2 linked regions of the Oryzias latipes genome follow. The protein of the gene in region 1 interacts with the protein of each later gene in a pairwise test. Links are inferred from orthologs where the notes say so. Each region holds a gene or a part of one and is shown in the gene's direction. Other genes may lie near its edges.

Region 1 (3,926 bases):
ACTCTGAGGTATTCTTTTTTTTTTTTTTTTTTTTTTTTTTTTTGCACCATAAGTGTGAAGAGCAAATAGGAGGAAGACATTCTTTAGAGTCTGATGTGTCTAAATAAAAGCATTAAGTGTCGGCTGCTCAAGCAATTTCAAATTAAAAGCTCCAAGCTTCCTCTTTGAATTTAGTATGTAGCATATTATGTGTAACGCCTCAGGAACGGCAAATGCCGCCCCCTATGAAGTGCCGCCCTGGGCGACCGCCCACATCGACCATATCAAAAACCGCCACTGCACTGCAGTAAGATAAACAGTTTAAGTCCCACTCCAATAATCATTCGATCTATTTTCAGTGTTTCCAGTACCGGTAGTCTTTTAATTATAACTATGCCGCTTTTAGGCTAAATCAAAAAACCTTTGTCGTTTTCAGGGACATACATAGTTTCTGCAGCGTGGCAGTAGTTCATTAGAAATTCATCTCTGAGTTGTGGGCGGGACTGTTGGCGAGGACTAAGCCAATCCCTGCTTCCTATCATCAGTTTACAGCCCCTCACAGCCCCCAACCTAAAATTATGCAACAAAAATGGCTAGCAATATTGGAGCTATGCAGCCATACCGTTTTGATCCAGATGTCAGCTCTGGCAAAGAAAACAAAGATGTACAAGGATCTAGTCATCTACAAGCCAATCCATCATAATGGAAAATGCTGCTGGTTGTAGTAGCTTGTAGTAGCTTCTACGTCAGATCTGCAGGATATTTCAAATGGCATTTTTGCACATGCTACTGATTCACAACGATTTGAATAAAGAAATACTCAGAAATGCAATTTTAATCTTATTTTTTTTATGTGTCCTGCATCATCAGAAAAATGTCACAAGAATTAAAAAATACACCAAAAATCATTTATTTGAATTAAGCCGTCAATTCTATTCTATTCTATTCTATTCTATTCTATTCTATTCTATTCTACTGAAAACCAATTATTTTTAATTTGTACTAAAAGATACAGTTATCAGTCTGTCTTTAGTTGGTTGTTTTGTAGTTTTGAGTTGGCTCAGCCGTTCGCGCTTCGTCTTGTTTGACCCTGGCGATGTCTCTTACTGTACGTCACAGTCACATGATTGTCAGGAGGAATTTAAGGAAACAAACGTCAACAACAAAAAATACAATTTTTGGGCCATAGAACTTTACATTTTCTGATTTTTTTACGGTTTTCTAAAGATGGAGTCAACCCTCGAACAACACCTTGACGATACGTGAGTTCTAATCTATGCTAACTAGCTTGTTTCTTTACATTTCGTACATTCGTTTGGCTAATTCTCTTGATTTCGTGTTTTTTCTGCAGCATGAAAAATCCAGCTGTTGTTGGGGTTCTATGCACGGACCAACAAGGACACAACTTGGGCTGTAAGACTCTTCAGAGTTAACAGGAAGTCACATCACATGTATTTATTCACGAAGTACCCCGTAGTCGATATTCTCTAGTTCGTCAGTTTCGCTAATAAATAAATTCCCGCAACAGTTTAGTTTCCCCAAAAACACAAGTTTCCACCGCCAGCTGTTTATGAGAGATCATGTTGTTATTTCTGATGTTTTAGTCTTTAATCTCATTAGAGAAATGTTGCCAGTGAGTGAGAGAGGCAAAGATGTAACTCAGAAAGAAGACCCATAGTGTTTAGGTCAGTGCAGATCATGTGTAGACATCTGTCTCCTAAAGACATCCTTTGCTTACATAACGGGATGTGTTACTTTTTCCAAAGAGGCCCATATTTGCAGTGAATCTTAGAACTATTTGAAACACATTAAATTAAATATACTGCAATGGGATACTTTTCATGACATTTCATGATTACATGACAGTCTTCACATAGAAAACAGACATCTAACTACGTTTTTACCAAAATTACTGTCACATTTGTATATTTTTTGCACAGTTCATTCACAGTTAGCTTGTCGTATTAGCATGTCTTATCTGGTAGTTTCTCTTGATATTGAACTCCATGAAAACAGCCACAGTCTTCTGGCCCATTAGGCAGACACAGTTGTTTTATATTTCACTGAAAAAATGTTCAAATTTTCCATTTGTCCTTTAAGAGGTTGACCCTTAAAGAGCTAGAGAGTGTCACAAAAGGGTCGCACAACAGTGTTTCCACAGGTTTATAAAGTCTGATTTAGCCAACCACACAGCTTTTAGATATTGTTGCAGGACGCGTTCTGTTGATTTTATGTAGGAGCCTACGGGCCGGTGAAAATTTGAAAGGGGGCCGGATTTGGCCCACAAGCCGGACTTTGGACATGCCTGGCTCTCATGACTGATCGACTGTTTTCCGTGTTGAAGACCTGAGTCGGAATAATTTAAAAATGGGTCTTCAACTGAATAAGTAACAATTTCCTCTTGAGGCAAACTGATTTGATCTATTATATGATAGTAACAGTTCAGACCAGCAAACATAGCAAAGAATTCTGGCTCACTGTGGTGGTCTGATCTGCTGCTGGTTATTACACCTTTGCTGCCAGATGTTAAAGCTACATGTTAAATTATCACACTGTTGGTGCTCTGACATTGTAAAAACGTGAAATCAGATTTACTTTAAGAAAAAAGTTAAATTCTAAATAAAGACTGCAGTCCAAATGAACTGATCTGATGAGCAGAAGGATGCATCTAAAGCAGGTCATCATTTAAAGTCCCACTCTGATCATCTTTTGATCTATTTCAAAAGCATTCCTAGTCTTTTATTTATGATGAAGCTGTTTTTGACCCAAAAAAAATAGTCATTTTCCAGAACAAAGTTTCTGCAGAGCAGCACTAGTTTTTTTAAAAATTCACCTCTTGAGTTGTGAGCAGGACTGTCGGCGTGAAGTAAGCCCACTTGTCGTCACTCATCTGTTTACTGTTTACATGCTCTCCTGCTAGCTTTCAGCCCTTCAGACCCCAAGCCTAACATTAGCGGTACATCAAAAATAGCGAGCAGTATCAGAGCTATACAGTCCTAGAGTTTTTAACCCGATAACTGCTCGGATGAGAAAAACAAAGACGTCCATGGATCTAGTCTGGATTCTGCTGATTCACAACGATTTGAATAAACAAATCCTGAAAAATGCATTTTTGAATATGTTCTCCATCATCAGAAAAATGCCAAAAGAACATGTTTAAAACACAATTTTCATCAGAGCGGGTCTTTGACATATTTTTTTTTTAGGTCGTGGATCTCTGTCAGATGAACATGGAGGTGTGGTGTCTGTTCTGGCTAAACAAGCAGCTGCTCTCACCAGAGACCTGACGGACACACCGACTGTGTGCCTAGAGTCCGAGTCAGGGTGAGCCATGGACTGTGCCTTTGCACAACTTCTTCTATTTCTTAGTTTTAGTGCATTTAAGGTGTGCCTTTGTAGTTTTAAATGTGGAAGTGTACAAATAAGAGTTCCAAGACGCTGTGCAATCAGCTTCAACTTCTGTGCCACAGAGGTGCAGCAGAGATGAGCATCCTCTATACCTGCTGGTCACGTGGGAGACCATGCCTAATTATTTTTCTGAGTATTGGCTCCTCTATACTATTCATGACTTTTGGAACTTCCGGATGTTGGAATATAATAATTTCCCCACCTCCTCAATACTGTACATTTAAGTCATTTAATGGATGATTTAATTCAAAGTGGCTTAACAGTGAGATACAAAACAAACCATATTATCCAGGATTAAGTGGTTGTGAGGGTTAGACTCATGGATAATCATATAGGCAGACCTGGATTTGAGTATTTATTTTTTTGGACTATGCTGCCACCTTCTGGACTCTTTTAAACTATTGAATGTAGTGGAATTCCCACCTCTGAAATGGACTTTGTCATTTGGAATTAGAAATTTACCAAAAACACAAGTAAATAGAATTCAATCCTGTTGTCTAAGTAGCACAACACCAAAAAAAAAAAACTTCTAATGAAGC
Region 2 (3,557 bases), on another chromosome or scaffold:
GTTTTTATATTTCTTTATTGTTTACAGTTTATTTCTATTTAATTTGTTAAAAGTTTTGAAATTTTGGTCTCAATTATTTAAAAAAATATCCTTCAGTGTCTTTTCCATTCAGGTAGAGTCCTGGCTTAAATTGTACGTTGCAAATAAACAACATGTAGCGTTAAAGCGATAAGAATCTTCTGTTGCAGAAGAAGCAACATTGATTTATTATTTTGTTTTCCATTTATTTTTGGTGTTCGGATCTCTCTGGCCATTCCTATAAAAAGTCTCTGCCTGCGTCACCAACAGCAGTTACTGGAAAAGTTTAGTTATTTTCTCGCACAGATGTCACGGTGATACAGATCCGCTGACTGTCACTGAAGCTCACAAACTTTTACCACTCACACATTTGTAACAATTTTCTAAATAATAACCACTCTGCTCTCATAATTTGCAAAAGAAAATGACTTTTTCTCGTTTCAGGTCTACAACTGCTGAAAAACAGGGATGGTACTTTCAAAATGATTTAAGAGGCTTCTGAAATGACATTCGTGGTTGCTATGGTTTCACAACATGTCTGAGGTGGTGACATTTCGTTTTTTTCCACTATCCAAAAAAAGTTCATGTTAACATAAGGTGTTGTCGAAACTAAAAAGTACGATCAAACGCACAGTGGATTAACCAGAAGACAAAACTAACATCAGAATCCAAAGTATTATTATTGTTGTCTGATGGAGCATCTTGTTGTGGGGGTCATGTTCTGTGCCGTGTGCGATAAGTGATACCTGCCCTGTGGTGAAATAAGTGCCCCGTAAGGATGAATGAGTCACAGACGAAGACCGGTAGTGAGGCACCACGGCAGAGATCTGTCGGAGTCTACGTGGACGCTTCTCGATCTGTAACCTGAGCTGATTAGTGCTCTGTCACCAGGTTCATGAATCAGGATGAAGATCCGCTGGCCTTTGATGACTGATGTTGTCATGCAGCATCGTAAAATCTCAGCTAGTACTTCTTCATAATTGATAAGCAGCAGCAGTTATTACAAACTGCAGTATTCCGAGTCAGACATGAATCACTTATTCGCTGCACTTGTATTATATTAGGGATTGATTGAAGTCTCACCTGCTGTTTGTGTCTGTCAAAACCCAAATCTTGTTGTCCCATCCCTGCCTCCCTGCTTATGTAATCACTGTCTACTGATACTTTAACGGAGCTGGAAAGTGTGGTAAGGGTGATTAAAAAGTTGACTGGGCGCACAATCTGAGAATCAGGGGATTTTCCGCTCAATTACCCCCAGAGAGCCTCCTCGGATGAGCTTCCAGCTGTCCGGGAATGAGGCGCATTGGACTGAGTGTCAGATGTCGTCCACGCTGGTTGTAGAATGACAACACGAATCAGAAATAGCAACAGGGCGTCTATATAAACCACAGGCAGACCCAAGCAAAGACATCCCAGGCAGAGACAGAGGAAGCCTGAAGCATCACTAAGACAAGCCAACATCTTCAGGACATCGTAAGTCTGAGAGAGATCTTCCAAAGGAAAGAAGATGCCAATCTGCAGTGTGCTGGAGAAGAGTAACGGTGTGGTGGTGGGAGGTCAGCTGACCTGCAGCGTGCGGGAGGTGAACAATGCACAGAAGGAGAGCTACGCTGCTGACTGGGTCAGTGTTTACCTCAAGACTCAGCCCCAGGACAGGTGAGACATTTGAACTCCCTTCAACTCAAATTGGTTGTCCTATGAAGAAGATTTTTATGGAATTCTTGAATTCCACAGACAAACCATGAACATGAACGACAGTTCCCGCCGGGAGACTCTGTCCCGGCAGTGGCAGGCCCGCTGTCTGACCCAGTCCTGCCCCTCTGGCGTCGTCAGGGTGGGCACTGTGGAAAGAGGGGTGAAGGAGCACCAACTGCTGCCAAAGAGAAACACTTTGCCCCTGCCCATTTTTGTTCCCACAGAGCTGGGCATCAGATTGGGGCGTGGAGGCCCACACACAGAGGAGGACTTGGTGCCTATCCCAGTTCCAAACGGGCTCTGTCCTGGCAAGAGGACCGTGGACGAGATCACCAGGGACCTCCCACCTGTCAAACTAGCCACCATGGAGTTCGCCAAATCGCCTCAAGTCCTGGGTCGCTCCATGTCCCAGGAGGTCCAGAGAGGGTGAAAGAGTGAGGAAGAAGAGGGAAAGAGGGGGATGAGAAAAATGACAAGTTCAAGAATGGAAGAAAGTCAGGGATAATTTTGAGAAGAAACGTAAACCCGTCTGTAGTGTCGCACATTTTGATGTTGGAAGTTGATTGTCAGGACTTGAGGGTTTAACCACAAAAGGACAACTGAAAGTACAATTTTTTGTTAGATTAAAAGTTTACGTCTGTGAATCGTAATGGAAAATAATGAGTGAAAGAACCACGCAGGTCAAAAAAGTGATGGAAAGAGGGAGGAGAGTCAGAGGGGGTGTGATAAACCATGTTAGTCCCTCTCCAGGACTCCAGAGCTTCTGCCAGCTTCTGATCTTCGCCGAGGGAACAGAATGCACTGGCACAATCACACACACATTGCTGCTTTCAGATCGAGTGTTTTTTCCGTGTGTGCACTAAAGGACATCACCAGGCAGGGATTTGGGAAAAATGACAACCTGTTTTTTTATAGAGGCGTATCTCATCTGTCTTGTTAGTTTAGCGGCGGCTTTTATTTGTTTCTCACAAAGAAACCGATGATAAACTAGCTGCTTGTATTAGTGTGTAAATCATTTTCAAAGGTGCAATGATGCTGATTTTTTGTTAGGAAATTATTATTTTTCATAATAAAAGTTGAAAAACCACAAATTTTATTTGTTTTTCCTTACAGTGCAACCTAAACACAACGTTCAAAACTCAGGATCTTTATTAGGAACTGAGTTTAACAGTTACTAATAAAGTCCATTTCACAGACTCGGACCCTCAGAATCCAAAGATGTCTCACTGTACTGCATTATATTTTAACAGTCCAGCCTTCTATGAATGTTACAAATAATTCCAAAAAGGTCAAACTGAAAAAATGAGGCAAGCATGACAAAACCATGCAGGAAGAAAACCACAAGTCTAGTGGGAGATCAACCAGATCGGAGACCTCCACAAACAGTCAGACATGCTGTCACCTAACATCAACACTAAAAGAGAAGATGTTTAAGGTGGACTGAGAAGGGATTTTAGGAAAACTAATACTGATTATTAAACTAGAGGAATTCCTCTCTAAAATGTAAGTACAAGTTTATGGTTTGATGGTTTTAGTGTTTGCCAGCAGGGAAACCAGAATAAATCTGTAAATAGACAACCGTAGGTCACAATAAAAAATGAAAACATGCAGCAGATTAACCAACCACCGCAGAAAAACCCTAAATTAAACCAAAAAAATCCATGACGTTGACCAAAAAACAAAGATTTACAGTTCAGTTTAAAAAAAAAGTACACTTTAATGATTTACAACAGATAAAATCCAAATAAAATGCTTTGAAGTCCAAAATTCAAACAATCTCTTTAGGGTTTTTTAAACTATCACGACTTATTTATAGCTTCTTTTTGAAAATTAGTGTCAGTGTA

The links.
Region 2: the proteins of lamtor5 (region 1) and telethonin interact in binary tests that used the Homo sapiens proteins (3 or more experiments, as listed by UniProt). The link is inferred for Oryzias latipes from reciprocal best matches to the Homo sapiens genes LAMTOR5 and TCAP.

Annotation. Positions count from the first base shown.
Region 1 is NC_019865.2:10,897,332-10,901,257, reverse strand, and holds the start of lamtor5 (ragulator complex protein LAMTOR5), read left to right. Parts: upstream 1-1,067; 5' UTR 1,068-1,206; coding exon 1,207-1,241; intron 1,242-1,330; coding exon 1,331-1,392; intron 1,393-3,185; coding exon 3,186-3,303; intron 3,304-3,926. UniProt on the Homo sapiens protein: As part of the Ragulator complex it is involved in amino acid sensing and activation of mTORC1, a signaling complex promoting cell growth in response to growth factors, energy levels, and amino acids.
Region 2 is NC_019866.2:5,747,936-5,751,492, reverse strand, and holds telethonin, read left to right. Parts: upstream 1-1,414; 5' UTR 1,415-1,525; coding exon 1,526-1,674; intron 1,675-1,752; coding exon 1,753-2,143; 3' UTR 2,144-2,804; downstream 2,805-3,557. UniProt on the Homo sapiens protein: Muscle assembly regulating factor. Mediates the antiparallel assembly of titin (TTN) molecules at the sarcomeric Z-disk.